4 linked regions of the Lepisosteus oculatus genome follow. The protein of the gene in region 2 purifies or fractionates together with the protein of the main gene of each other region. This does not show direct contact. Links are inferred from orthologs where the notes say so. Each region holds a gene or a part of one and is shown on either strand. Other genes may lie near its edges. The genes, in order: cyfip1, rac1a, iqgap3 and cav1.

Region 1 (7,823 bases), on a different chromosome or scaffold from region 2:
CAATGCAGATATTTTTTTTACTAGTTCGGTTTTTCAATTGATTTGAAATGCCAGCGGTACTGAACGTTCTCTGCAATAATCCTATTATACAAAGAACCTACGGGGGTAGAGTCGCTCTTTCTTGGTTTGAATCAGAACTCAAATGCTGCAATTTGCAATGTTGTGGTCAATTTACCTTCAGTATCTCTTTTGCAAGTGTTCTAACAAATGTTTCCTCTTTTGTGCTAGAAGCTTAAACCACCAGGTACCTAACCAGCGTAATTACCTCTCACCCCCTTGTGAGATCAGCCAGGTTTGATATAGCAGAAGAAAATGCCCGCTTGGAATTCTTCACTCATTAAATGAGTACCCTATTCACCAAAGAAACCCTCATTACCACACAGCAGGGTGGGTCTATCAGAGAGGTATAATTACCCTTGTCCAAAACTGGAACCTTCTTCCTCCAAAACACCTTTTCAGCGGCGGAACAAAAAGGCAGCGCAGATCAGAAATCCAGGCAAACGTGTAAAACACTGACGAAAATCAAAAGAAATAAAAAAAGTGAAACTCCTCAAAAGCCAAATGCACCGTAAAATCAAAAAAAAAAGTGAAGGAGAATCTGCCGAAGAAATTGGTCTGAGAGAACCCCCACTCACGAGTGGGCGTGTAGGTGAGAATGAATGTCTGTCACACTGTAAACTGTGCTGGAACCACCCACACACAGGGGTTTCTTTCTCACTGGTGCAGCAGTGAACGTACGGAGCAGCTATAGACACAGACAAACACCATTATTTAACTCAACTCCCAAGGAAGGAAAAATTAAAACAATGGAGAGACCTTCAGGTCTAGATCTTTGCTTATCTGCAGCTGCACACCACAAAAGCAGACACAAACTCTGCTCTTTACCTTGTGCGCAACACACAAATAATTTACCACAACACACAAATCACAGCCTGGACGTTCAAAGTGTTTTAGAAAAGACCAAAAAAAAAAACATAAATACAGACAGAAGCTATGTAAAGACTAGAAGCTGTGATATTAGTACTAATTTATTGACGAGCGCTATAGAACAGCATATGTTTAATACATAAAATAGAACTTTGAAAAAAGAAAGGCACATAAAAAACTGACCATGTAAAACTGAATTATACAGCCATTACTTTAATAAAAAAAAGTTTAAATGAGATATAAAAATCTCAACAGTCACAGAGTCCGTGACGGATTAAAGCAGCGAGTTTGAGAGATGTGAGAAGGCTCTATTACCCACTTTGGGTGCAAATCAACTCCCAACAAATCATTTGTGGTATAATGCTAGATAAATTCTAGAAACACTATTATTACACCCTCCTAGCCAACGAGCAGGAAATTGCATTGTACAGATCTAACCCGTATCCAAAGCTATCACAGCACCCTTAAAACATTAGATAAAAAATAACGGTTCTCCGGTACAATACCAGGGAAAAATTAAAATAAAAAGGTACTTAAATAACTTTTTAAGTGCCATATAAAAGTTAGTAATATTAATGCATTGCCACAGCTTTCACAAAAGGGTGTAAGAAAACTTTACACCGATAGTTCCCCTTCATGACCCAAGTGGAATAAAAATCTGAAAACGAGCTGAATATTCGCATTACGAAGTTAAAAAGCAGGCAGCTCGCAATCCATTACGGGCTGTATTCTTGAAAGGATTTCATCAGGGCACATTCCCCTGCAGTTTTAAATCACAGGGCTGCTGTCTGAAGCAAGTCAGCACAGCGGTGCTTTCTCAATACTGTTCTTACGACTGCAGGGACACGTAGATAACCAGGCTCGTTTGTTTTTTTTCCCCCACCTGGAATGTTTTTTATAGTCGGTAGGAAATATCTATTAACCAATTAACGCATGAAACTGTACAGAGTTCGACGGTTTTTCTCCCGTGTTTGGGCTACCAGCTCCATATTTACAGTATCAAATATAAAACTTCTATGTGACCTCCGTGTACTATGAATCTTAATTCTGCATTTTTGAAAGGAAGCGCACCACCATCAAGGTAGTTACCCAGGCACCAAAAACTATATCTTTACCATGATATTAACTTTTCAGACCTCAAATTTAAAAAAAAAAACGCAAGATGTCCAAGGCGTTAACCATACTAAAACGATTAACTTGAAATCACACAGCTAAATGCTACTCTCTAATTGCAGTCTCCCAGGAAGCGCAGGCACGGTGTAAAGCAGCTAGCATGAGTATCAATTACAACTTACGACAAAAACTTTTATGCCACACTAAAATAGTCGCTCTGCCATCGCGTTAGAAGTTCCTCGGCTCACGGAGCAGCCGGAGCGACGCAAGTCTCTCGAAGACGTTTCGAGCCTCAGCTGTAGCACGGAAAGAAAAGTTTTCGAAACACTTCGAAAGATGGGGGGGGGGCTTGAACTTCCAGTTTACCCAATTCCGAGGCTGAATCCCGGGGAAGACGTGCGGTTTTTCCTGGCGATTCCGCGAGCAGCGCAGGCTAGGCTAGGCTAGGCTAGGCGGGGCTCCGGCTCTACGAAGTTTCCCAAAGCGGTGCGACCCAGCGGTCAGGCCCGGGAGGATCCCACTGCCGCCACCGGGGCTGGACGGGGGGGGCACGGCTCGCTCAGGCAGCCCACCAGCCCAGAACGAAGTCTACAGAATCCGACCCAAAGCCCGTAGGCAGAAAACCGCTTACAAATCCACGCAGCGCGCAAGTTAAAAAGCCCAGCATGTGGGGGGTAGAGGCAACACCCAAAGCGAAACAACACAAACTTTCCTACCTAAGCGTAACCCAGTCTTGTTTTCCTGGGAAATGGTGAGCGCTCAGGACAGAAATCCCATTCAGCGGGAGCGGAGCGCTGCGAAACCCGTCTGTAAGAGAGCCACCTCCCTCCGCTTCGGCCTTTCTCTGGAAACTTTTAGCTTGGTCCGGGCGGCCGTCTTCCTGTTGCGGAGGATCCCTGCAGCAGCTGACACCAACCTCGGCTCTGAGCCCGAGCTGGGAGTTCCTGTCTGCGACTCTCAGGGAGAAGTGGGACAGGAAACCCTCCGCCGCGGCGCTTTGCAGCGTCGTGCCGCTTGGGGGCGCTGCGGATTCAGGATGCCAGGGAACCACCAGAGGGCGATGAATAAACAACCCCCCCCCACCCTCAGCCCTGAGATTAAATGGGCTGGCCGGTATACGCCCAAGTCAAGTAACTGGCAAATCGTTAAAGTCTTTAAATAAATCCGGTTTTTAAGGATAAAATTGAATTTTAAAAAAATGAATCAAATCCCATTTTAAACCTAAATAAAACACACCCTATGAAGAGTAGTAATAACTATGAAATTATCAACCATATGATTCATTTCTTCAGGTCCTTCACTGCAGAGTTCCATTTGTTATTAATTCATTGTTATAAATTAATTTGTCTCCCCTCCACCACCACCAATGTGCAGCTTCACCTGGATGATGCAACAGCAACCATAGTGCACCAATATGGTGAGCACTCACCAGCTAACATTGGGGAGGAGAACAAGGTGATGGTGATTATTAGGAGGCCACGACTGGTAAAGACCAGGGGGAAATTTGGCCAGGACCCCAGGGTAACACACCCCTACTCTTTTCAAGAAACGCCCAGGGATTTTTAATGACAGCAGAGAGTCAAGATCCTCGGTTTTACGTCTCAGCCGAAGGACGGTGCCTTTTTACAATATAGAGTCCCCATCACTATACTGGGGCATTAGGACCCATACAGACCACAGGGTGAGCGCCCCCTACGGGCCCCTCTAATACCTGTTCCAGCAGCAACCTTAGTTTTTCCCAGGATGTCCGTTATCCAGGTCCTGACCATCTGTGAGCTGCAGGGTGACATAGCTGCTGCCTAATATGGTCAACAAAACACAGGATACCCTTCATATTCTCTCCCCCAATTTGGATTTTACAGATAACAAGAAAAAAATAAATGAGGGGAAGATTAACTCAAAGTTCTTTCTTGTCATAAAAACAAAAACAGGTGCAAGAATTTGACTCTTCAAAACAGTGCAGGTTTTATTAAGAGAGCAGAATTTATTGTGCAAACAAAAGTCTAATTCACTCTGCTATACAATCACTTTTGTAAATAGTGAATTATGAGCAAAAACAGCACATCTCAAAGACAGCAAAAAACTATATTTACATTTTCAGTACCCTGTTTTCTTATTGCCTTCAGTGTCTCAATATGAGCACCCGAGGTGAAGGGTATTTAAGATACTCCAGTAGCAACTGAGCACTTTTTTCTCCCAAGAGCACAAGAAACAGTAGCAAACGTCTGTCCTTGTTGCATTTGCTAAGCAGAAATAAAGTCAGAGGCCTGTTGTCGGAAAGGGCTTCCCTTGCACTTTGATGTTTGAAATCCAGATGGCCACGAAAGAAAAAATAAGCATTGTGAAAGAATGCCTTGCAGACATTCCATGATTCTTGAGGATCTGTAATGGCTCAAAGCGATGCAAGGAGCTTCACAGCTTTCTGTAGCTCATCCTCAACACTGCTCAAAGCCAGCCATCAGAGACAGAGCCAAGGACTCCACTGAAAAGAGGAGTGAGAAGAACCAAATTAGAGAACACAAAAATCATACAATGCTGTGCTTTTCTTAGCTCTTTTACCAATAAAAAGAATAAGTTGCAAACAAGAGGTGGCCTTGAGATCTATCTGTTTGATAGTTATTAGCAAATCAATCCAAAGATCTCATGCAGCCTTTTTTTGTCTTGGAAGAAGGGGCTTCAGCAACAGGGCTGGATAGAGCAGATACTCTAACAACCCTTAGTGCTTGCACATAGTGGAACTAACTAATGCTACAGCTGAAACCCTTTTCCATTACTTTTAATTATTTTGGTACAAACTGTTTTAATCACTGATACACTGCTTCTGTTTAAGACTAGAAGATGCTGTACCTGTCATTATCAGTGATCACATAATACAGTTGACAAAAACTAATTCAGAGACATCATACATTGCAGATAAAAACAATTTTAAACTTTTAATTGATAACTTTTGCCAGTTAATCACAAAGCAGAATATGACCAGTGAAACATCTGATTAACTTTGGCTCATTCACTCTTTACAAACAGCAGAAACTGAATTGCCAATAAAACATTTAATTCGCTTTCTGTATGACTCACAGTGTGGAAAGGAGCCCCTGCAGACAGCTTTGTTGAGTATAGTTACCAAGAACATGTGACAGTTCTTGAAATCTGACTCCATCTTATCAATAGACTCAATCCTAGAAATGCAAAGAGTTCCAAGATTAATTTGAAAAAAAAAGTATCAATGTTATATTAACAACTAAAGATTTCACTGCACATTTGTAGTTTCTCTGAAAAGGCTTCGTTAGAAAAAACACACATATACTGTATACACACTCATTTAAAACAAATGTGAAACAGTTTCTTATGGTTCTGATGTTCCAATGCATTTCTAAGCTAAATTAAATATAATTTGGAAAACCTTTCTTAGAGCAAAATACTTCCTGTCTAAAAATACCTCATAAATATCTGTATTTTAGCTCAGTAACTCAAACTCAATCATTTATTTCCGGCAAGTTTGACAACTATTTGCTTCTTTCACTGTTTGATCTTGGACAACCACCACCTTGCCTACAGTAGAATATCCTGGTGTTTTTAATTATAGAAAACACAGACAAATGTCCAGTTAACATGGTATTATTTACTGAGAAATCAAACCAATACATGCTTGCGTTTCATTAAGGGTTTTAATACTTACTTCCAGGCACCAAAGCCTGCCTGCCACCGATCTGAGAACATCAGGGCGAGATTCAGCACCTTCATTATTGCCTCCTTCACAAAACTAACCTGCAAAACGCATTGCCAAGCAAAAAAGTTTATTTTACTTTTTTTCTGAAAATTGTAGTCATTGCTACGTTTGTCTTTTGCTCCAACAATCATTTAACTATGGATTCTATAGTCCACCATTTCTGTGTTTTACATGTCACAATACAATAAGACACAAAGCAACATAAGACGGGTTGCAGATGAGAAGATACCACTCGGTAGTCAGTAGTTAACTCATGTAAGGATCTCATCCAGCCATTTCTTGAAAGAAGTCAGGATGTATGAAAAAGGCTTAAAGGGAAATTGCAGTCCCAATTTCTAAGACCGGTATTTAAATTATTAAATGTTATAGAACAATTTTACACATAAGCACAAAATAAGCACAAAATTGTGAACTTTGTGAAAGTACTGGAAGTCGCCATTTTATCACAAATCTCTGGTCTCACCAGGGGTAATAGCGAGAGTTCACAAGTATTGTGACGTGATGTGGCCCTTCTTGCTCACTAGTCACCATAATGACTGATGTAATGCGATGTACGAGTGAATGAGTACAAGTTGTGACGGGGACATTTCACTGCAGAAATGTTCCAACCTGATCTGCATGCAGAGTTAACAAGTAAGTAGTATTTGTCAGCAAAACCGTCTCAAAGTCAAGAGCAATATTTCTATTGGACTAAAAGTGATTTATTCACAAGCCTGCTCGTGTACAAAGTAATAGGGGTCACTTCAGTTCACCGGAAGTTTTGTTGCCTTGTCCTGAATCGCAGAACATGGTGATGCGCATACCTGGAAAATTCAGCTATTTTGTGAAGTAAATTGGAGGTTTTACTCATTATTGTATACATTTTTCTTTCATTTTGGTTTGAAATGCACTCATCAATGCCGATTCTTTATTAACCCCAAATATAATAATAGCATTGAAGTTCTCATTAAACTACTTGGGATAGGTAGCTTATCCTACAATGCTACAACCCATTGGATAAAGACATGCCTCCTGTTCTTGTTTTTAAAAACACTTCCATATAGTTTCTACTTGTCCCCTCTAGTTTGTGGTTCAGTGTTCATTCTTGAGAAACCTGCTGGGTTGAGGTTGTCAGGGTCTTTGAGGATTTTGAACACTGAAAAGGTTCAGTTCCTTCAGCCTGTCTGTGTAAAGATGTTGTTTTGAGTCCAGGGGTGTATCAGGTTGCTTTTCTCGGGACAGACTCCAGTACAACCATAGGTTTACCTACAGTATATATGGAAAAGTACAGTTCAAGAGCAATATGGACAAGTGGAGAACATGCATCTGAATTACACCTCCTCTTTCATAAAAAGCACAGTAGACTTCAAGGAAATTCAGTGTCCCTTAGTAGTTGTGAGTTAACAGAGTGCAAGACCTACCTTCTCTCGGAGAAGACAGCGGTCGTGAATGGTGGAGAGGTATCTGTAATGGATTTTAATCAGCTGGTCCAAGTCTTTAGCCTCTTCCACTTGGTGCTGAAACTCTAAGCCTGTGCTGTGCAAAATCTGACAGAAAGAATATACTGCTGTTTAAAACATACAGAAAGTATTTTAATACTCCTGCACCTAAACAGGAACAATAAGATGCTGGCTCAAACTTAAGTATCAGTTGTTCTCCTGTTTGTTACTTGACAAAAACGTCCCCTTTTGTGGGGTTAAGGTGTTCCATACATTCCACCACTGAGCTGTTAAAGCGTGTCTTTACACCCAAAGGCTAGACAAAAGACTACTGAAAATCAGAGCACAAAAATCATCTGTAATGAAGGCCAAGAGTCTTTGTGCCACAGTTAACATTAACATGGTCAACATGGTCTCTGCATTCCATGAAACTGTAGCTCTTGTTATTTGGCAGGCCCAAGCAAACCCAGTGGGAAATGTTCTGCTTCTCCAATCACTGCTGGTTCTCCTGTAAGGTACTGTGTGTTGGCTCCTGTGCTTGCAGTGTGGTGAATGATGAATGGTTCTAATGGGCGGTGAGCATTTCAGATGGTCTAGTTTCTTCCTATTTTCTTCCCAGGGTGATACGGCAGTGAGTG
Region 2 (7,643 bases):
GGCGGTGATGGCGGCGGTCCACCACTTCAGGCCGTACCTGTTCGGGACCCGGTTCCGGCTGAGGACCGACCATGCGTCCCTCACCTGGCTGCTCCACTTTAAGGAGCCAGAGGGACAGATGGCGCGATGGATAGAGATCCTGCAGGAGTACGACTTCACTGTCGTGCACCGTGCGGGGTCTCGCCATCTCAATGCCGACGCTCTCTCGCGGCGCCCCTGCGAGGCCGCGGACTGCCATCACTGCGCCCGGCGGGAGCAGCGTGAGGAGGCTGTCCGCACCGTGGCGGGGGTGAGCGCCGCGGCCACGGCCCGGGAGGGGCCGCTGGGGGTGGGCCTGCCAGACCTGGCGCAGCGTCAGGCAGCTGATCCTGACGTGGGCCCGGTGCTCCGCTGGAGGGCAGCAGGAGTGCGGCCTACACGAGAGGAGCTCGCCCCGCACCCGAAGTCCGTCAAGGCCCTCTGCGCCCTGTGGGAGGCCTTGGAGGTAAAGGACGGGGTGCTGCGCCGGGGGTGGCGGGTACCCTCCAGTGGCGAGGTACGGTGGCAGCTGGTGGTGCCTCGGTCGCTCCGCGGGGCGGTGCTCCGAGCGGTGCACGGCCAACCGGGTGTGGGGCACTTCGGCGGTAAAAAAACCCTGCAGCGTCTCCGAGGCCATTTTTATTGGGGTCTTTGCCACCGGGACGTGGAGCGGTACTGCCGAACGTGTGCGGTGTGCGTGGCGCAGAAGGGTCCCCCCGAGCGCTCTCGGGCCCCCCTCCAACAACACCAGGTGGGGGCTCCTATGGAGCGGGTGGGAGTGGACGTTTTGGGCCCGTTTCCGCGCACCGAGGCCGGGAACCGCTACGTCTTGGTGGCTATGGATTACTTTACGAAGTGGCCGGAGGCCTACGCCCTCCCGGACCAGAGTGCCCCCACGGTGGCCGATGCACTGCTGGAGGGGATGTTTGCCAGGCTGGGGGTGCCGGAGGAGTTACACAGTGACCAGGGGCGTAACTTCGAGTCCCAGGTCTTCGCCAGAGTGTGCCAGCGCCTGGGGATTACTAAGACGCGGACCACCCCGCTGCATCCCCAGAGCGACGGGTTGGTAGAGCGGTTTAATCGGACGCTCGCCACCCAGCTGGCCACCCTGGTGTCCCGGCACCAACGGGACTGGGACCGCCACCTCCCCCTTGCGCTCTGGGCGTATCGGACCGCGGTCCAGGAATCCACCGGGTGCACCCCGGCCTCGCTCATGCTGGGCCGGGAAATGCGAACACCGGTGGACCTGGTCTTCGGCCTGCCGCCCGGAGACGGGTCGGCACCGCCGGCTGGACCGGACTACGAGTGGGACCTGCGGCAGCGGATGCAGCGGGTGCACAGCTTTGCACGGACCCACCTGACACAGGCGGGGGTCCGGCAGAAGCGGTACTACGACCTGCGCTGCAGGGGGCCTGCCTTCCAGCCCGGGGACTCGGTTTGGGTGTACAACCCGCGGCGCCGCAAAGGCCTCAGTCCTAAGCTGGCGCCGTCGTGGGAGGGGCCCGCTGAGGTACTCGGGGTGGTGGGCGAGGTCTGCTACCGTGTCCGGTTGCGAACACGGGGGAGAGTGGTGGTCCTGCACCGAGACCGCCTGGCCCCCTACCGGGCCCGGGAGGAGGAGCCGTGTGGGGAGGCTCCAGAGGAGCAGCCGGGGCCGGAGCCGGCCGATAGTGGGGCGTCCGTGGATCGCCAGCCGTCACCGCGGCGCAGCGGCCGCTCACGCAGGGTTCCGCAGCAGTTGGCCGAATACGAGTACAGCCTGAGGGGGGTGTTCGACGTCGGCGAGACGCCAGACGCTTCAGGTGGGGGCAGTGTAACGCCCTCGCCTGGTGGTGAGGAGGAAGCGCCCCTAGGCGCTCGTAGTACCGCTGGGCATGCTGGGAGTGGTAGCCGGGAAGAGTCTGAGGGTCAGCACGATGACCAGCGGCTGACCCTGCCTGTGTAAATAATGTCCTAGTAATTCTAGTACCCTGTGTAGTCCTGTAAAAGTAGAGTGTGTTGTTAGGTAATTACCACCCTAAATGTGTGTACGTGTTCGTCAGACTCCTCATGTTTGTGTAGATCCTGTGTTTGGTTTTGGTGTGGTTGTAAAATAAAGCCAGTGCTTGGTTAATCGCGTCTCCACTGTTCTTTAGTTCTGAGAAAGAACCTGCAATACGCTACAATATGTATAAAACTGACATAAAAGCAAGCAAATGAAACGAAGGCATGCATATTGGACTTGGACACTGACGTTGCTTAAAAGGGGATGAAAGCAAACTGCTTTTCTTAATCCTCGATTTCTGGGCAGATGTTCCAGAAAAGCTCTGGACATAAAACACCACATAATTACAAACTTTACATTTAAAATTGAGATGTGCCTTCACCGCATTTATTCAAAGGAGATTCGTAAATGGGTGGTGTCGATAAATGCAGCGACTGATATGTTAAAACTCTGTGTCACGATCAGAAATGCTCTTCCCTGCTATCACAGCTAAGTTCATCCGCGATTTTCTCCTACAGGGGGGAAATGTCATTTATAGCAAAGGGAAATTATTTAACACGAGCAGAAATCGCTCCGGCCGTGACGTATTCGCGTTTGTCAGAAACTACAGTATATTCTAAGACAAAAAAAAAACACTCCCGTGATGTCACTCTTACCTGTGGCGTAGGTAAGAGAGAAATCGCTCACCTGTAATCGCACATTGAACATCATTGAGGCTATGAGGTAGAGGTAGGGAAAACGGATCCTTAGCCGCCAGGCTAGATCGAAAAAGATTAATAAAGTCCTCGTCAGACCTTTGGAAAACACTCCGTAAGTCCTGCCGGCGGACCCCGGAAGCCTCAACGCCAGCTGAGACAGACCCGCCATACAAAAGACAGGGCACACACCCCTCCCGAAACAGTGTCCGTAATGTCACCAGGGCGTCTGACAGAACCCGCGACCCATCGGCGCTGTTCCTGCTGAACACGGTTCACATCTCTTCCCTCTGAAGCGCCACTCTCTCGGATATTTCGGGAATCGGTAACGCTGTGACAGAAGCGGACTGTTTCACCATTCTCGGTCAGCCGGAGCGATATAGTGAGACACACGGATGCGCAGCCTTGCGCTGACTTCCTGTGGCTCTCCGAACCATGTGTCGTCTCTAAAAATAGGCACCGCCGCGTAGTATTTTTAAACCTGGCTTATTTCGTTCTCAAAAAATACATTCATATCCCGCCGGAGTGATCAGACGAACAAGTTGAATCAGACGAACAAGTTTTGAGCGTTTCTTTATCGCTTTCTCCTGTAGAAGCGATAGTCATAGTTTAAATGTATTAGCGCAATGGGAATTAACTTGCATTAAAAACCCGTTAAAACTGAATCAGCCAATTTAACATATATGAATACGGTTAATACTTTTCAAGAACCTTTACACCATAAGATTTCTACAGTGATACGTGGGTAGATTAATTTAGAAGGAATTATTGGACAGAGGCAGGCTGCGTTATCATTTATGCGGTACTCTATTGGAAGATCGGCGTACGAAATTAACTACTGTTGCTAACCGTTGCTCACAGCGTTACCATAAACTCACTGAATGGGCCTGTCTTAGTTACAGCAGTGGAAGACCAGTGTCGGCTGAAATATAATAGGCGTATGTTTAAGAGGAAGGGGTGACAGACTGTTATTCTTTTGAAATGTGTAGTTTAAATCTCAACCATTTCAACAACGAATTTCTGAGATCTGTCTCCATACGAACTTGTTTGCCTTAAGATGAGGTCAAAGTAATAAATACAGGAAAAGCAATTGTGCGCGTCTGCCTCCCTGCATCAGATTCGGTGTCTTTTTTCAGTCTGTGAAGAAGAATTTCTGTTAGTGTTGTTGTAAACCAACATCCAGTATGGGATGAGCCCTACCTCTTGTACGAAGCGCTACTGGATCCCAGTGTGTACAGGAATATATGGGATACAGACTCTTTCGTTATTTCTTATCAATGACTCTCCCACAGATGTCAGTGGTGGCGTGTTCCCACCCAATACGCTCAGGCAGACCTTCAGACTTCAAACAGGCGGCTGATTCTCATCTCTTTTCATTTCGTGTGTGTTTTTCATGTTTCTGCACATGCAGGTCCTATATCATTTGTGTCCCCAGCTCTCAGGGGGACACTGATCAGGTCTGATGTCCATATGTTCATACAGGCAGCATTCCTTTTAAGGAACAATTTGTGTTGAGGAATTCTCTGATTAACTCGAGAGACAGCCTTCCATGCATTATTGTCAGCTTATTGCATCCAACTCATTTTCTTAGGAAAATGAAATGTTGGGGTCTCCCACTTGAAACAGCCCGTATGAGGAGAAAAACACAACAAAGATGAGACTCTCGGGATCTCGAAACTACTGAAACCGCTCAGCCTGGTGCTCCGGGCGAATCGCCTCCCACACGTGTCGGGACAAACTCCCCCCTCCTCTTGAACGCGCGCCCCCGCGCCCCCAGCTCCAAGAGCCCTCCTCGCCCCCGCGAAGAGAGCAGCGTGCGCGCCCGGCTGCCCCGCCCCGCCCCGCTTGTGGCTCTGCGCTCCCGTCGCCGAGCCGGCGGTCCTCGGGAAGCCAGGAGGCGTGCGCGCTCACGCCGCTGGAGGGCCGGCGCTCGTCCCCTGGATCCACGGGACAACAGGAGAGGCCGGAAGTGACTCGCAGGGAGCTGGGAGCTACAGTTTCTGTTGTCTAGGGCCGGAGTTTTTTTTTTCCCCGCTTAAAGCTTCAGCTCCGACTTTTTTTTTCCTTCCTTTGGGGTGGTGGCTGTTTGCTCAAGTTCCAGTCGGACGCGACACAGGGAGTCGGCGTGTTGCGTGTTGCTGTTCGCGCTTCAGTGGCGGTTTTGCGTTTGGCTTGTCTTAATTTGATCTTCTCCCCCTCCCACACACACACACTTCCAGGACCCGGTCGGGCTTGCCTCGGTGTCGTGACTGAAGTGGGGAGAAGCTTTCTGTTCGGTTTTCTCTCCTTTTTTTTCCCCCCTCTTCCTCCCTCCCTCCCTTTTTTTTGTGGGGGGGGGTTGTTTTGCTTTTGGAAAGGGGAGGAAAAGCAACTTCGCGGGAACAAAGACGGGTCTGTTCTTGCACCCGAACCGGCAGCTGACGTGACCCGGAGACGGACCGGACCGGACCGGACCGATGCAGGCCATCAAGTGTGTGGTTGTCGGGGACGGGTGAGTTTATCTGCGATGTTTGTCCTCTTCTCTCCCCCCCCGCCTCCAACTTCTCCTTGTTTGGAAAATGTTGGAAAACTCTCCCACACCCGCTCCCGACCCGTATTCCTGCTCGGTTTCTAGGCCGGGGGGCCGCGTTTTAAAGTCTCTCTCAATTATTTTGGGCTTGCCCGTGCTTTCCAGCCCTGAGCCGTGTCGGAAAGTAACCTGGCTGCTGGGAAGTTACCTATAATTAACTGGTCTTTCCCTCCGGAGCGCTCTTTGAAGCCGTGGCTTACGAGCTTATCAAACTTCCGTGGAGGCCGGCTAAAGTTTACCGAGTGGCCAAAAAAAACAAATCTTTTAACTGATCGGTGTTTTTTTTTTCTTTTGTATTGTCGAGTTCGCTCATGTCGATCCGTTTGCGATTGCGTCCGTTTTCTTCGCTTGGTTTGCGTTTTGATGATTAATCTCGTTTGCCGGTCATTTAATCTTAAATGAAAAGACGGTTCGGGCTTCATCTGGCCAGTTAAACGTTGTATCGAAGTTATGAGAACGGCGATCCGACTGTACTTGTTTACTACCGAAGGGTTTTTAAACATGCATGGCAGAAGTTGCTCTGTTTAAAATATGTTAAGTTACCGGGCGATTATAGATGGGAGCGCAATTGTATTTTGCAATTTAAAAACTACCTTTAGGGGTTTCATGCATTCCTGTTAGTGTTTCAGTAGATCAGCGTGTAATAGTTTCTGGTTGCTACTTATGGGCAAAGTATTTTTCGTCTCTACCGATAGCCGTTTTCACACTGCAGTTTGTCAGATACAGGTGACTTATGACATCGAACACGCCTTTAGAAAGAATCTTTGAAGTTTTTTCTGAAGTCTTTCGGTGTGTGTTGCATCAGTTCATGCTGTCTTTTGCTCTTGTATAAGCTCACCGTGCGGCTGCTGGTTGTTTAAGACTCTTAGTGTTAGTTGAAAGGAGGAGTTTAATGGTGGGTCGTTCGGCGTACTGGAGTTTGCAACTGGGCTAGAAGTTGTCCTGTCTGTGCTTGCAATGCATCAAAAACACAGGGACTGTGTGGTGTAGTTCTTCATGTCTTGGGATCTTCAGTCTTGAAGGTCCTGATTGCCTTTTCTGTTCCAGCCCGAGCAGTCAGTGAAGCTTATTAACTTTATCCTCGTAGCCGAGTTTGTTCTAAAGGCTTTTACAGTTTGCCCCATTTTTGACATGATTGGAGAGGCGCTTACCTGTGAAATACTTGGAGCCTGGTCGGAGCGTTAGTCACGCTGTTAATTAGATCAGCCATAGAGGTGGAGCCCTCATGCAGGGCAACAGGCAGGAGACCCTTCATGAACTGTTTCAGATCCTTGCTGTCGGCATTCCCTTTGTCTTAACCCTGAAGGCACAAGCACAGCAGCGCAAAGCAGGGCACTTTGTCATCTTGGATCAAAGCAAAAACTGTTTAAACTAACTCCAGCCGCAGGTTTTGATATTGATGGGGAGCTAAATCAGAAATCTTACCATTTTTGCCTCTCTTGATCTAGGCATGGTGTGCCCTGTGTGCAGTATAAGCACTAGAAGCCAAACATGGAAAACGGCAAGACTGTATAGATTTCTAAACTTAACCGTGTGTGGACTGCTTACAACTACAACTGTTTCAGGTCGCCTGTTGGATTTAGATAAGTTTCTATCAAAGCTGGTATGATTTGGAGTCACAAAATGGGCCCCAATGCTGGTGAGATTATACTTTCGGTAGCTCGTCAGATCACAGGCAACAACTTTCCAGAGCCTTCCTTGTATAAGGTAATTGAGTAATGCAGCTCATTGGTCTCCTTTATCTAATTGTGGCCTGTGTCTCTGATGTGGGTTTTACAGGAAATAGGTATAATAAGGGTCCCAGAGGTCAGGAATCTCCTGCCCTGCTTCAGGGGAGCCCCTGTCCACCAGTTTGTGGGTCTCCCTCAAATCACATTCTGAGGACATGGAACCATTTTGAGGCAATTTTGTTAGATTTAAGTAATTTAGAAATCATCTGAAATGGAAATTGTCAGTCTTCAAGGAACCAAGCTCTGTTAATTGAATACATTTCTTTATTTATTGCCCAGCAACTTAAAAGCATTCCCAGTGCTTAGAAACAGAGGTTTTTGGGAATACATATTTAGAGATGTATTGGACTGGGAGTGCCTGCAGTAGATTCTCTGTACCATTGGTGATTGAAGACTGGGAATGACCATTCTTCTCATCTGGATTTTCTTAGAAATATCAGACTTCTGTGTGTTTCCCAACTTGAATTTGGAGAGGCTTAATGTTTTGCAGTTTGCGTTGACATTTGGTTTGAACAGTGAGGATTTCTAAAGTACCTCCCATATTCTCACTATTGTTCCTTCTCGAGCAGTAAACTAGGTCAGGTCATTGCTGGTTGAGAGTGGTGTAGGATTTCAGAAGCATCAGTATAATAATGCCATTTGGTGGC
Region 3 (7,770 bases), on a different chromosome or scaffold from region 2:
GCCCCAGCCCCAGGGGATCTGGGGGGCGTGCCCAGGTGGGGGTAACTGTATACGCAGGGGGCACTGACCTCTTGGCCTCCTCCAGGTGGCACAGGTACTGGTAGGCCACGCTCTGGACGCGCCGCTCGTCCATCTCCTCTGCGGTCAGGCGCTCGACTGCAAGACACCAACGCACGCCGAGTGAAAGTCGGCAGAGGGCAGGCGCTGCCCGAACACTGGCAGCGGGCGGGGGACAGGACGATCCTTCGTCCAGCAGCAAAGCAGCTGTGTTTCATGCACACACTGAAAACACGACATCAACAAAACATCTACCCCCCACATACCATATCCCTGTCACCCCACCCACACAACCGCAGCAGGCGGAAGGCGGGGTACGCCCTGGACGGGACGCCAGCTCACCGCACACACACACACACACACACACACACACACACACACGGGCCTGTTTTCCCAGGAGCTAGCCTGCCAGCGGCGAGGAAACCCACACGAACACAGGGAGAACATGCGAACTCCACACAAACAGCACCCCCGGGTCCAGAACTGACCGGCTCACCGCGGCTCCACCACAACCCTATAAACATTCTCCCCCACCATCGTGACACGAAGCCCCTATATTTACACCCCACCCTCTTCCCTGTCCCCTGACTGCACTTGGGAGAGCACTGTATGAGACACCAGGCCTGGCAGGTGACAACTGGACACCCGAACCAGACCGACCGACCCCGACTTGCATTGCCATAGGGACTGGGGGACCCCCAACGTGCCTGGGAGCTGGGATACAGCCCAACCACTGCTGTAGCTAAGAGAGTGACTGGACCACAGAGCTGGGCTGCAGCAGAACACAGGAGGGGTGTGTGTGGGCCTTCAGGATCGAAACGCTGGCCAGCGGATCAGCACGTCCGACCAGTCTGCACTGGGATTGATGATCTACAGGCTAGCCTGACTCCGGCGGCTCATGACCTGCCACGCGTTTCCTGCTCTGTGAGGGTCTGGATCTGTTCAGCCCGGGGTTCCCAATGTTCTGTCCTGTATCAGTAGCGCTGCCTAAAGGGAAACACTGTCGCGACGCGAGTCTCTTAATTAATCAGAACAACACTCGAGGCCTGGAAAGGGCCGGCAAATTGGAACGCCAGTCAATGAGCTAAGCCAGACCTGAAGGGTATTCAAGAATTTATTGATTCTTGAAATCAATAAATCACAGAGCTTGTGCTGGAGTGGGAACGAGGAACGGCCAGCTCCGAGATTCAACGCGAAAGGCAAGACATCGGGGCAGGAGGCTCGGTCCGGTTCTGGCGCTGGTCGGACCCGGATCCAGACCAAAACTCCGGTCAGATGAGCTCCTCAGCAGTGGCCCCGGAAGAGACCAGAACCGGGACCAGAACCGACCTCCCCCGGCCTGTATGCACAGCTAAAACAGTCACACACGCCGTCCTCGCATCTTAAGCGTTCCTCGGGGGGCTTTTAAACAGACCCCTCGGAACAGGAGTGTGTTTGCCGCTACCCGAACTGTATTGTTTGTATCCTGTGGACAGGAGCCCGGCTAAGGCCATCCAGTGAGGAAATAACTGTAGGAAGTCCAGTCAAGGTGTCCGTGTCACAGCAAACCAGGGAGAGCAGCGTGTGGGAAGCGGGCAGTCCGCCAGGCGCGCCTCCATTGAGCCGGCCCTCACGCCCGGCGCCCACCGCCATCCCCACGAACCGGTCTGCCCGGCGTGATTCCGAGATTCCTGGCGTGTTTCACCTGGGGGGTGATGACCGGCGTCGCCACTTCCGCTTGCAATCGTCTCCTATATATATTGTAACGCAACGGGGGCTCAGGCGGGCGCCCTTGCCGCATTAGGTCACTCAACAGGGACCCAGCCCGGTGAACCAAAGAGAGATCTCTCTACAGCCCAGTAGCTGTAGTCCTGCTATCACAGGGAAGGGCGGTGACGTCACCTGCTCTGGTACGCCGGCTCTTACACAGAACCTGTCGGCCGTAAGCGTTACACTATATATTTGTTTTTTAGGGAAGGTGCGACGTCTGCCGGAAACGGGAGAAATCAAAGTCGTGCCCCGGTGCTGTCAGAAGGTAAAAGCGCTTCACGCGTGGAGGTGTTTGGCCTCGGGTGCGAACTTCAAGAGCGCTCGACACCCCCCCCCACCCGAACCTCCAGTCACGGACGGCGCGGGCTGTGTCGCGGGCGGCAGAGCCTCAGGGAGAGGAACTCCGAACCGAATCCGACACCGACGGGCCCACTGCAGTCCGGCCGGGGCCGCCCGGTCCCGCTGCTCGACCTGAACACTGAAGTCCAGTTCCAGACTCAGCCGCCATTCCTCTCCCAGCTCTGAGAGCCGTGCAGGTGAAACACTGGGACGGCTTTGCTTTCACAAGGATATTTCGTTGCAGTGCGAAAACATCCCCTCAAACAGCCGAGCTTGTCAGGGACGCGCAGGGCAGCTTAAATGACATTGTTTATGCCAATACAGCACAATCTCCCACAGACCCCTACTGAACTTTTATATCCGTCTCTACGGCCCCCAGGCGAAATCGTCTTTACAACTAATTTCGGAATCTAGTAATTAAAAAAAAACGGGAATAAATCCTGACCTAATTTTGACATTAAAAATGTTTCTTGTTATTAGTTATACAGGCGTGGTGACTTACATGCCGAACGCGTTTGTCCCTCGCAATCGTCCATATTCCTTGTCAGCCTGTACCGCGTCCACTCAACGCCAAAAAAACAACAGGTTTCCTCTTTTTCCCCACAAACAAACTCGGTGCTCACTGGCTAATTCGCAATATGCCTCTTTTAGGAAGAAAATTCCTTTGCTTCAGTCATTCTAAGAAATAACTTAAGAGAAAACCGGGAGAGAAACGCGATATCGCTGGCACAACAAAGTTCTGTTAATTTTCCGTGTGCCTCCTGTTTGAATATCCCGCCGTCTGCCGGGATAAGACAGCGCCGCTCCCATTGGTCGGGATCCAGGTGGGCGGAGGCCCACCGCCTCGCCTTTGAATTATGGGAGATGTAGTCTTTTTTTGGGACCCCTTCTTGTGGTTGGGCTGGGAAGCTAGATCAGACTTTGGAGAACACACGGCTCGCATTTTCACCGCTTTCGGAAGGGCGTGTTTTCCTTACGAAATCAGGACCCGAGCTGCGAAGCTGCCCCCTTTGGACCGTGTTTTATAATCCAAGGTGGCCGCCCGTCTTGCTCCCGGCCCGGCGGCTCTAGCGGGCTTGCGAGCGAACTGGTTGCTGGGGCAACCGAGGTAAACCGAGCACGCGGAAACCGATACACCCGCGCAACAACACGGAGCCCAGGCTGCGGTCAGAGCATCGCGAAATGATGCAAAACCGAGCTCGATAAAGACGTCAAAAAAACTCTCTACTAATCAACCTGAAAAGAGATGGGAGGACTTCTGTAAGTACAGTACAATGGGCTGAGTTCTGTAATGCAATTCGTCGCAGGAGAGCGATTCCTAACTAAGGAAATACAGCTTGTTCTCTTTGGCTACCAGCTCTTGTAGTGTCTTTAAAGACACCTCTGCCTGGCAACTAAACAGGACAGGAGCGGCCGCGAAATTTACATCCCTACATGATAGTTTTAATAATTCACATTGCAACGCTACGGGGTTCACGTGGGTATGCGCCCTCGCCGCTGCCGCCTCCAGTCGGGGCGCATACCCACCGTTAGGGACTCGAACCCGGACCTCCGGTGACACTCAACAGCGACCCAGCCTGTTGACCCATAGAGAGATCTCCCGGTCCCTGCCATTCACAGGGAAGGGCGGTGACGTCACCGCAATGGAGGCTGTATGCGTTACAATATCAAAGGCTGGTATAATGCAGTCTTGGGCTGTAAGAGCCGAGCTGTCTTGAGTTACAGTGTAAGCTGTGAAGCGCGGTGTCTGCAGGAGCGCCGCGGGGTCAGTGTGAGAGCAGGCCGACAGCGAGGGCGGACACCCCGCCCTGTCTCTGGAGACCGGGGGCGCTGGCCGGGTGACGCGGGGCTCGGCGGCCGCTGAGCGGGGCCACGGCCCCAGCGAGAACGGTGTGCGGGATTCCTTTTCCACACACCAGAGAAGCTTGGTTTGCAAAAAAACAAAAGACACAGCAGCAAAGTCACCGAGCAAGTAAAAGTAAAAAAGAGGTGTATTCTTCCGGCGGTTTCTTAATCTTACTGCGAAATTGAAACCTTTTATTCCACAGCTAGGAAATACAGTGTCTGAGGTTTAAAGAACTGACCTGCATCAACGATTTTTGAGAAGGGGTGCGAGAGCCTATATTGAGCACTGAAGAACTACAGACTGCTGTTCAGGTCAAGAAGCAGTCCTGTAGGGTGTCAGTAATCCAGAGCACTCGCCACTATACCGCAGTGTAACACCACCTGTATCTGAAATGTCAATTTACAGCTGAGATTTGCCTTTTCGTTTGTATGATTCCGGAAAATACACTGATGAGAAAACTCTTATGAGCTACATTTACCTCGCTGCCTTCCTGATATACTCTAGGCTAGAAATACATGGCTAAATATTTGTGCCTTGTATTTGTCCTCCTGTTTTTCTCTATACAGCCAACTATTGTTGCGTGCCCCATATTACTCAGAAAGCAGATGAACCCTGTGTCTCAGGAGGGCTACATCATGTTAAGATGCAGTATACTGTCTCTGTTTGGGTTTTACAAGCACCCTGTCGGTGTTAGTGTGCCTTGTGTCTGCTTGTGTGAAATGTCGCTCTGTGTTTCCGGCGCTAGATGGTGACCCACCGTAACTGGGCCTTGATGTCGCGGCGTGGCCTGGCCCTGGTCTAATGGCGTCAGATGAGGTGACAGTGGCCCCCCAGGCCTCATCCTCAGCTGATCATGATCCCAGGGGCCACAGGAAAAAAGGCAGGGCCCAGTCAGAGAGGGGTAGCGGGGGAGCTGAGCTCTCAAAGGCCCGGGCAGAGATCGAGGAGCTGACCGCCGCTGGACACCAGGCCTTGCTCCGGGGCGACAGACCTGAGGCGCTGGCCTGCTTCAAAAAGGCTTTCCTGGCCTCCTTGCAGGTGGGTGGGTTGCAGCAGCCTCACGCAGTTCGACCGCCAGCACCTGGGCAGACTTGGCCTCCATCTGATAACATCTGTGACAAAACACCAGGCACAAAATAGAGCAGGCACAAACACACTTTCAGGCAACAAACACATCCTCTTTGGGGAACATAGCCTTGTGCATCATGAGGAGCCTGATACAGACATTTAGACCGCAGATATGGAAGTACTTTGGGAGAACCGGGCAGAACCACAGACGGGCGCTGTGCCTATTTTAATATTGCAGGTTATGATAACAGTACTTTTAGGCAACCAGTAAACACAACAGGCAGACATCAGGAGAACTGTATCACAACTATATGATGCTTTTCTGGACACTCCACTCAAAGCATTGCAGGTAATGAGGATCTTCTCCATCCACACCAGTGTGTATCCCCCACCTGGATGATGCGCCAGTCCGCTCCCCACACACCAGCTCTCAGTGGGGAGGAGAGCAGAGTGATGAAGCCAGTTCAGAGAGGGGGGTTATTAGGAGGCCATGACTGGTAAAGGCCAGGGGGAAATTTGACCAGGACACCAGGGTAACACCCCTACTCTTTTCAAGAAACACCCTGGGATTTTTAACGACCATGAAGAGTTAGGACCTCGGTTTTATGTCTCATCCGAAGGACAGCGCCTGTTTACAGTTTAGTGTCCCCGTCACTATATTGGGGCATTGGGACCCATACAGACCGCAGGGTGAGCGCCCCCTACTGGCCACACTAGCACCTCTTCCAGCAGCAGCCTTAGCTTTCCCAGGAGTCTCCCCTCCAGGTACTGGCCAGGCTCACACCTGCTGAGCTCCAGGGGGCTGCCAGGGCGGCAGGGTGGTCCAGCAGGAATGGACCTGAGGGGGTCAGCCCGGCTGACGCCGCTCTCTTGTGCCCACAGTGCAAGGACAGCCGCGCGCACAGGGCCTGCGCCTTCAACCTGGGCGCCGCCTACGTGGAAGCCGGCAAAGCACAGAAGGGGCTGGAGTTCCTGCGGCGCGGCTCGCCCGCCGAGGGGGGGTCCCGGCGGGCCGACCTGCACTTCAACCTGGGGGCGGCCCACGAGGCCCTGGGGGAGGCCGGCCAGGCCGCCGAGCACTACGGTCAGGCCGCGCGGCTGTACCGGGAGCAGGAGGGCGAGGAGCTCAGCGAGGCCGACGCCTGGATGAAGCTCGCCGGCTGCAGCCTGCACAGTGAGGTCAGAGCTTGGACCCCACCAGCACCCCACAAGGGATGCAAGCAAGGAGGGGTTCCTCTCGTTGGGTTGTCCAGGGTGTCCTGTAGTACATTGATGGACAATGGGAGCTGTTGGGGTTTCCAAAAGTGGAGTTCTCAAATTTGATCTCATAGGTGGGGGGACGTTTAGTGATCCCAACAGCATGATTGGGTAGTTTGCTGCAGCCACCCACAACCCTTTGCGTACAGAAGTACTTCTCTGGTTTTCAGCCCCGAATGTGTAGTTAGTTCTTTTTCGTGGCCCGGAGGGGAGCAGGTCTAATGGCCCCATCGCTCCCTGCCTTCCCTCTGCCCTTAAAAAAGAGATGAGGAGTTACTGCCACCGCCAGTGAGGTGCCACCTCTGGCTCCCGCCTTAGGTCAGAGGATCAGAGTCCCGGTCCAAGACGCGGGACTGCTGCACGGAACCGGTACCACCTGCTTGTCTCTCCTGCTCCGTCACGCCAAATAGGCCTCCTGGGCTGCAGGATTTAGAAGCAGCAGGGAAGTTTAATAACAGATAAGATAACATTTTATTGTCCCCTGAGGGATTTTTTATGGACACCCAGCACTCCTGTACATTGAATTAGAATGCAAACTAAAAAAAAAAGAGAAGAAAAGAAAAACATTGCACATTATTCTATTACAAAAAACAAGAAAAACATTGCACTCTATTGCACACGTACAGTATAACACATAACAGCACGTATCATTTCTGACACATCACTAAACATATCGCACTCAAGTGGGTTGTAAGAGTCGGAATTGTGTTTATCCTGGACATTTGCGTTGACGACTGAACCGCGCAGTGAAGACCAGGGGAGGCAGCCTGCCGGTCTCGGAGCGCACAGCCGGCCCAGAACGCGAGAAACCCCACAGAGCCCATTCCGCACAATCCGTCCGCTCGGGCGCGGAGGGCTCATCGCTCCGAGACCCGCCCAGCGTGTCCGTCTGCTCTCTCCCGGCTCCGCAGGACTGGGCGGAGGCAGCTCGGGGTTTCCAGGAAGCGGGCCGGAGCTACAGGGCGGCGGGCCGGCCGGAGTCGGCCGCCGTGGCGCTGCGGGAGGCCGGGAGCTACATGCTGCGGAGCCGGGCCTTCAGCGAGGAGGACGTCCTGACCGCGCTGCGAGGCTGCTGGGAGCTGGGCGAGAGCGTCCAGGACCAGCGGGAACGGGGTGAGCGTCCTTGGGGACCCCCGGGGGAAGAGGGGTTGCGGGTTTCTCAGGGCTCCGCAGGAGTGCCGCGCCAAAACACGGCAGCTCGTTCACCCTCGCACTCTCTTCCAAGGGCCAGCTCTTCCGATACTGCGGTTCAGGAATGGAATCTGTTTTCTGTTATACACACATGCCATTTGGAATGGGCAGCTGGCTGGGCTCTCCAAAAATGGCTCCCGCGCTCAGTCGAGGGCGAGAGGGACGCTCTCCTCTGACCTGCCCACGCGTAGAGACACGCCCCGTTTCACCTGTCCCGAGCCCAACCCAGCCCGATCAAAGCGTTTCATAGTGGTGCCCCCTCA
Region 4 (7,889 bases), on a different chromosome or scaffold from region 2:
TTTTCAAAACAGCAGATTGCTCAATTATTTCCAGTAACATCCTAGCCTCTATGGGATCCACCATAAAACAGTCTTAGGCTTCAGCACAGGTGTTAAATATTTACCTTACTTTAAGTCCCGGATGTTTCATTATTTGTTTTTCTAGTCCTAAAACTCAAATCATTCACCTGAAAGGAGGATTTGGAGTTCTGAAATGTAATTATTTTGAATTATTCAACCGTGGTGAGCCCGAGGCATTCTACAGGTGCCGTTTCTTACTTTTGGATTTCATCGATCCATCTATTCTCTTCTTCCAATTCAGGGTCATAGGGGAGCAGGAGACTATGTTGGCAAGCAAGAGGCACAAGGCACAGTTCACTCTGGACGGGATGCCAGTCCATCAAAGTGCAGACACACAGACACTCAAGCACACACTTGCACCAGGGCCAATTTTTTTACAAGAAGCCAATTAACCTCGCACTATATTTTTTGGACTGTGGGTGGAAACCAAAGCACTCAGAGGAAACCCATATGGGAATACAGGAAGAACATACAAACTCCACCAAATAGCACTCCAAGGTCGAAAGTGAACCCAGGGTCAAGGCACTGCAAGACAGCAGTGCTAATAACTTGTAATTTGTCTTTGTCTTTATTCAATTAATAAATGTGTTTTCTGATTTTAAAAAATGCAATTGACAAGAAATGAATACGTGCGCGAGAGACATTTAAGGAGTATGCACGCAAAGGAGTATTTGCATGTTCAAAACAGTAAAACTGGCATCTCCATTTAAAAGTCAAATACACATTCAATTTCTTAAAATAAGTACCCTTCACTGGAAAACTGCACTAAATTTAACCATTCCGTCAACAAAATACTGGGCACCAACCAATGTCAAAGCAAGAATACAGAACACCACTGAGTATTTTCAAAGAATTCCCGTTCTTCAACATACAACACAAATGAACACCATTCTGCTTGAAGTGTAGTGAAATAAATACATATTTTTAATTCAACTTTAGTCTACGACAGAATATGATAGAAAACAAACCACTCCAAATCTTCAGTCGTTTATTTTCGCAGTATGACATTCCTTCAACGTGCAGGATGTACACTTTAGAAAACGTTTGCTCACGGTGCAAGCAGGGTCGGTTTGAAAAGTCCGATTTCGGAGTCGACTACAGTATGTACGGCTGCTTGCTGCGCTCATTTACTGTACGTTTGAGTGTTGGATCGTTCGTCAGCTCACGGATGATTTATTTTCTCCTTCTAAATAATGTTTCAGTGACAAGTCAGTGACATACCAAAGGGATTGCATTGACTCCATTAAAGATAAAATAATTCAAAAACTGTGTTTCTCCTCGCAGGATATAGGCATATATATATAATTAATATATATATATAATTATAGGGACATCACATAGGGTTTTTTAATGTATTGTTTTATTAATTTATGGGCACTCGATAGAACTTTAAAAGCCGTCGAAATTCCAAGGATAAAGGACCTCAGGACCTCTAGTAGATGCAGCACGTAAAAATTCACATACCAACAAGAAAGAAACACAATCTTTCACAAGTTCAAAGATATGGAACATATCAGAACTTCGATGAAAGTTGTCTTAAACTTTTCTTATTACTATACTGAAACGTCACATTTCCCTTTCTACAAGTGCATATGTACCAAGTACCGTGACCATTAAAACGTTAAAACATAAACACCTGTTCGCCACACATACTGTACAAACCCTGTTTCTCAGTTAATATTTCAAATCTTTAACGGGGATGTAACATGCGCACCCACGTACCTTCACCACATCGTCGTTTAAGTGTTTGGGATCCCGGTTAACCAGGTCGATTTCTTTAGTGTGAACATCGTGCATCGCTTTTTCGTTCATACTGTCGTTATCCATGCTCTTGTTGTTCGGCTTGTAGATATTTCCTTGCTTCCTAATGAATGGCGAGTGAAGAAATCCCTATAATCCCGATGGAGAAGAAAAATAAAACTGAATCAAAAAAATCAAATCAAAAGCGGACAACTTGCAGAAGAGCAATGAGTTTGCAGCGCGTCTCAGCCTGGGATGGGTTTAAGTGCATAAAATATAGCACCACACCCCTCTGAACTACGAGTCTCGCACTCACCACAAGGGGTCATCTACAAACACTTTGACTCCAGATCAAACTCCCAAAAAAAGAAAAGAAAATCCAAAATAGATCGTCTTTTGAAAAACGGTATGATTTAATGGCAGAAAAAAAACATCTACCACCCAAGTATACAAAAAAAAAACAACATTAAAAATTAAAACAACTGCAGCTGATTTTCAGAACAGTGAACAAACAGGTCTTACAGGAGCTCACCTATATGGGTAATAGGCATGATCATTTTTAAGATAAAAAGAAAGCACAAGACCAGTTACGTTAATGCATAGATTTCTGAATGCAATATCAAAATTAACGGCAGTTGCCTTGAAGCATAAAAATACCAGACCGTGTCAGAAAAAACAGATCAAAGGTTTGCCGTGTCAGAAAATAGACAAAAATAGACTACTTCTGATGCAGTTTAGTACGTCAACGTCTAAAATGAATAAAACGTTACAATTAAGAAATTATGCGTTTATAAGATAGCTATTTCGACCAAAAATAAATAACTTGTCATAAGCGCAAAGATGTCAATACAAGATGACATAGAGACCTGTTAAGAAGCAAGTATTTAGCGATATGTGTACACAGTGTATGTAAACAGTTTGAATCGGTCACTTTAAATTGAAAGCTATAACCCTTCAACAAACGTCTTAAACGCAGTGCAGTCCCGAAAGCTCGCTTTAACACAGCGTACCTCTGATTCCTCGTCCTTGATACCACCAGTCATACTGTCCTGAACCTGAAATGTGATCAGATTAGGATTTCTCGGCAATACAATAACTTTTTGAAGGAAGCAAGAGAGCAGAATAGGCGTGGGGTTTGATGGTACTGGCGGGACTCCAGGGTTTGTGCTGTGTTAGTCAGGATGACATCAAATCCTTACATGTTTTAACGTACTGTATTGACAGGAGGCTCGCGAAGTACGGTCAATGATTAGCCGGACAGTTAAAAGCTGCACCGAGCATCCTGTCTCTGCAGCAAACCAACCGAGACGCACAGATGCAGAAGTGTTTCCCCCCCCCTACTTTTAATGTGCCAGAAACTGCAACCATCCATTAGCCTGTCACTCAAGAGAACTGAAAATAACTGGAGCAGGATCCGACAGAACTGTAATACTGTATAATTAAGAATCGCGCAGCCCTGTGGGGAACAGAAATGTTCGTTAATGCTTTCCAAACTCGGTGAACGAGTTAACACACCTGCCTCTGGTCTGATGGTCGCAACCGATGTTGACGGTCCAGTCTGTTTACATTCCCAGAGATTAGTTCCACTGGCTGGGACACCTTAAACCTTGTTTAAATGTCTCCTTGCCTTTATTAATCTCACTGTGCAGGGACTTGCAACCAGAAGCCTACAGTGTGTTTTATTGGTTATGGGTTATGTGATATAAACCAGGCCTGTTTCCGTCTTTACCGATAGCAGTAGAAAATTGTATTAAAATGTTCCCATTCTTATTCAGTTCTCATCATTACACAACTATGGGTATAATGAATCCCCAGGAGCTTCATTTCACATTTGTTTAAATTAGAATTGAAACAAGACCTATGAAAAGAACCCCTATGCATTTGTGAGCAAATTTAGATTAAAATTATCTTTTTGTAGTTTCAATTTGGTGGAAACTCATTGGCAGCACACCAGCTTTGCCCAATTCCTGCCCATTATTCTTGGCATTTAGTTCAAGGTGGTTGGTCACTTATGGACAGCAGTTCTCAATAGGATTCAAGTCAGGACTTTGGGGTTTCTCAAACCAATATAGTGTAGCTTTGGCTTTGTTGTTTGGATTATGGTACTACTAAAATGTGAATTTTTGCCCCAGTTTATGGTTTAAAGCACATTTTCCAGTGTGGTCTGAGGTAATATTTGTCTCCATCTACTGTACATTACCTTGAGTCTTGATAAGCTTTCCAGTCCCTGCCGATGAGAAGCAGAACTATAACATAATGCTGCCACCACTGTGCTTGACTGAGTGATGCAATATGTTGGGTTTGCATCATGTCACGCCCGCCAGCCAGCGGAGCTCAACTCATAAGAGACCTTACCAATACCAGCAGCGGGTTAATAATAATAAGAAGCGCCGCTGCACGTGTTAATACATCAGCACACGCTCTACTGTGGGACAGGCAGCACTATTTATACCATCCAAACCCGCATCCAGCTGCTCGGTATGGAGTCTTCTCGTAGAGAGCTCCACCTCACAGTTATTTCAACCTTGCTTACTATACGTCTCCAGGATTCTGAACTACCCTTTTGCCTCTCGACCTTGAACCTCGCCTTCTGATTTGGATTGTTTGCCTCTATATTATCTTTCGCCTTTCGACCGCATTCTCGCCTGACGTTCCAGGTTGTATGCATGTCTCGATATCTACCTGCTCCTGCATCTGCATAGGATCTGCATACCTCTTCATTGGGGATTCCTTACACATCAGATCTAAAGCTTTGCATTTAGAGCTTAGACTTGAGTGCTTTGTTGTTTACCCCCACCTAGAGTGTGACTTGAATATCATTGACTTCAGTTGAGCTTGTTAGCTCTTTCAAAGTCACCATTGGCCACACAGTTACATTTCTAACCACTTGTCCTTGCCCAGCTGCTTCGTTTGGAGGGACAACCTCATCTAGGCAGTGTCTGAATGTCTTCCACTTCTTAACGATTGACTCCAGCATGTTCAAAGAGATTTTAAAGGTCTCTGAAATGTTTTTATATTCTTCTCCTGATCTGTGTCTTTCTACAACTTTATCCATGAGTTATTTTGAAAAGCTCCATGGTCTTCATAGTGGAATATGTTCTTGGAATTTGAGATACTTCACAGAGAGGTGGGTTTACTCTAAAATTATGTGAACCACTATTATCGCATGGAAATATGGGCCTCTAAACTAATTTCGTGTGCCCAGATTAATTTAGGTTTCCCAGCACAAAATGCTGGAATACTTATACAATCATAACTTCTATTTACTTATTTTTTTTGTTTGTTTTTTGCTTTGGATGTAAGTCGTGTACATAAGAAAGTTTTAATTGCTGTGTCAAAGTGTCCTGATTGCAACAAAATATGAACACTGTGCAAACATCTGAATACTTCTGCTGGCACTGTATATACAAGAGTGAAGGAGAGTTTTTGTTTCAGATATATCAGTCATTAATAATAAGGGTTTGCTTTCTTCAGGCCATTGTACTGTGTTCAACCTTCCTCCGTGCTAAGCAACCCCTTTTCTAGTTATTAATTATTGTGTGTATATTTGTGGATCTAAGAAGCATAAATAAAGCATAAACATGATGGATCTGTGATAAGAACATATTATGTAAGCCTGTTGCAGTGCAAAAAAAGAATAAGCATAATTATACATCACTTTTTGCAGATACCTTTGGGTCTGGGGACAAGGAAGGTACTTTAAACAAGTGCCTTGTACCCCAGTACTGAAAGATATGGGTGCACGTTGTTGCCTAGTTGCTTTGCAACTGGGGCAGTGATCTTTATATTCAAATGATGGCAGAGTTTTCTGAAGTGCAGTCCAATTGGCCCTTTCAAGATTTCTGCGCTCTGACAGGATGATGGCAATACCCTCTAGGCCATCAAGAGAAGGCAAGTATAGCACTTACAACACAGCAACTGTGAGACCAATTGGAGAGCAATGTTTTATCATGTCTCAACCAAATCATATGCCTTTGCCCTGTTAAAAGCAACATCTCATTCCCCTTCCCCCAGAAAGACAGTAGTAAACTTGTGCGCTGTACTCTTTATAATGAGGTGGTAGCAAGTAAAGCCAAAGGAATGTTTGGGACTCATGAAGCAATCCTTATGAGATGGGTGGAATCTGTTCTTTCATGTTGTGCATCTGTACCTGTGCTTTTGTTTGTACTTCTCTATCCTCTTTAATTTTGGAATGATCCTTCACTACCATGGGGAATCAGGACTGCAGATTGAAGGGAACCACAACTGTACTTGGCTGGCCAGCAAGTTCTTCCCACCCAACACTGAAATAAGAATAACCTTCAGGTACTGGAGTGGCTGTATGTTCGGGCCAGTGCTTTTGCATTTACACTAATGTGTAAGCCAGTTCTTATTCTCTAACAAGGTTATTCATATACAGAAGATATATAGATTGTGCGATTGAGACAGTTGAAAAGAAGGAACTCACTTCCTTTAATGAACTCAAGAGATAAGGCACCTTGTCAGCCTGATATTCTGCATTAATACAAAACAAAGCAATGTTAGCTGACAGAGTGAATATTATACATCTAAGGATGATTGTGAATGTCATTCCTCCAGAAATATCTCTTCATTAATCAAAATCGAGAATCCTTGATCAACCAAACCATATTTCTACAATGGTAAACTAAATTGTTTCTTTTAAACATTACTTTCAGTTAAAGCCTAAGGAAGTGGATAAGAAGTGTTTAGTCTAGTGAGGAATTATTATGAAGCACCGGAAAAAAATGCACCTAACCAAAAATATAAATTGTATAGATAATTATTAATCAAAACCTTTCTCAAGGTTTGTCATTTCTTTTCCATTTTTTTTATTTTAAAATAACACAATGTAATATCCTCCAGTATGTTTCAGTTGAGGAAAAAAACAGCAATGCACATTAAGAGATATTTAAATGAATAATTTATTTGTAAAATATAATAATCTTGTGGATATTATTTTCTCAATTAAAAATGTGCTTTAGCTTTATTATATACATCTGAGGCAAAAGAAAAGGTATACAGTTTTTTTCAAATCATTTAAAAGTATATAATTGGCTACATAATTTTAAAATTAGCATAAATAACTACCGTATGTCTAATACAATTACACAGAAGAAGATAACAGTAAAACCTCCTTTGCCTTCTTTTTCAGTACCCTTCCAAGACAAATGTACAGAATCACACATGTAATAGAATCTGAAATATTAAATTTAATCTGAGAAACACAAAATGAAATAGTTCTTTTTGGTTACACAAACTTTATGTGCCCTGTTACGTTACAGCATGTAAAACTATCAATATGCTCACAATGTTTCCCTATAATCTCCATTATTATTTTTTAAAGAATATAATAATGTAATGATATAAATAGAAAAAAATAAACTTATTTCTACTGCTTCTTTTGGACTTAGCTGTAAGGGGTAAATATGAGGTTTCTGTGACCTGCAATATGTGAGTAGTGGGTTTTTTAATTACTCGGGTTAGTTACAGACTTATTTTTTTATTCTCTGTACTGTAAGTCAGAGCAAATAAAAACCCCTTGATACAGGCTGTATTCACACTTCTTTTTAAGGGAGCTCTCTTTTGTCAGTACAGTAGATGTTGCTTGGCACAATTGTTTATTGATTATTAATTGTTTATTAATTAGCAACTTCTTTCATGTGGTTCCATTGCAAATCAAGAAACCAAAAGAGGACATTCTTAAAATATTAAGACTGAACATGAGATTAAACTGAGAAGGGTGTCTTTAGTTTAAAACTAAGTGATGTGGGAAAGTGTAAATCCTTTAAAACTAATAGTCATTTTTAATATTTTCATATTGCTTTCTTTAGAATGTAGAAACGAGTGACCTTCAACCATGTTTTCAGATCCAGCTCAATTTTTTGGTTGATATTAGGAGATGTTCTGTTAACCATGTTGCCTAAAATACTTTCTGAGCTTGAATTCTAGCAAGGTGCGTTTAGAGAGAAAGTTTGATTACATTTTCCTCTTATGTTACTTTTTAGGCCTTACGGTCAACTCTTAGATTATTACACTAGCAAAACCAAATATACAATCACATTTAGAAAAAAGAAAACTAAAAGCAAGCC

Evidence for each region.
Region 1: the proteins of rac1a (region 2) and cyfip1 purify together in Homo sapiens (pull-down; 3 studies listed by BioGRID and IntAct, with this or other methods). This does not show direct contact. The link is inferred for Lepisosteus oculatus from reciprocal best matches to the Homo sapiens genes RAC1 and CYFIP1.
Region 3: the proteins of rac1a (region 2) and iqgap3 purify together in Homo sapiens (affinity purification with mass spectrometry; 3 studies listed by BioGRID and IntAct, with this or other methods). This does not show direct contact. The link is inferred for Lepisosteus oculatus from reciprocal best matches to the Homo sapiens genes RAC1 and IQGAP3.
Region 4: the proteins of rac1a (region 2) and cav1 purify together in Homo sapiens (affinity purification with western blotting; 4 studies listed by BioGRID and IntAct, with this or other methods). This does not show direct contact. The link is inferred for Lepisosteus oculatus from reciprocal best matches to the Homo sapiens genes RAC1 and CAV1.

What each region holds. Positions count from the first base shown.
Region 1 is NC_090710.1:22,086,460-22,094,282, reverse strand, and holds the start of cyfip1 (cytoplasmic FMR1-interacting protein 1 homolog), read right to left. Parts: upstream 3,004-7,823; 5' UTR 2,757-3,003; intron 1-2,756. Other genes in the region: tubgcp5 (gamma-tubulin complex component 5), read right to left, coding at 4,476-4,522, 5,116-5,216, 5,717-5,805, 7,168-7,293. UniProt on the Homo sapiens protein: Component of the CYFIP1-EIF4E-FMR1 complex which binds to the mRNA cap and mediates translational repression. In the CYFIP1-EIF4E-FMR1 complex this subunit is an adapter between EIF4E and FMR1.
Region 2 is NC_090714.1:16,726,477-16,734,119, reverse strand, and holds the start of rac1a (ras-related C3 botulinum toxin substrate 1), read left to right. Parts: upstream 1-4,634; 5' UTR 4,635-5,153; coding exon 5,154-5,188; intron 5,189-7,643. UniProt on the Homo sapiens protein: Plasma membrane-associated small GTPase which cycles between active GTP-bound and inactive GDP-bound states.
Region 3 is NC_090722.1:3,450,428-3,458,197, reverse strand, and holds the start of iqgap3 (ras GTPase-activating-like protein IQGAP3), read right to left. Parts: upstream 3,005-7,770; 5' UTR 2,682-3,004; coding exon 2,648-2,681; intron 157-2,647; coding exon 69-156; intron 1-68. Other genes in the region: tetratricopeptide repeat protein 24-like, read left to right, coding at 4,793-5,029, 5,942-6,238, 7,228-7,429.
Region 4 is NC_090702.1:45,225,451-45,233,339, reverse strand, and holds the start of cav1 (caveolin-1), read right to left. Parts: upstream 3,016-7,889; 5' UTR 2,844-3,015; coding exon 2,811-2,843; intron 1,951-2,810; coding exon 1,783-1,950; intron 1-1,782. UniProt on the Homo sapiens protein: May act as a scaffolding protein within caveolar membranes. Forms a stable heterooligomeric complex with CAV2 that targets to lipid rafts and drives caveolae formation. Mediates the recruitment of CAVIN proteins (CAVIN1/2/3/4) to the caveolae.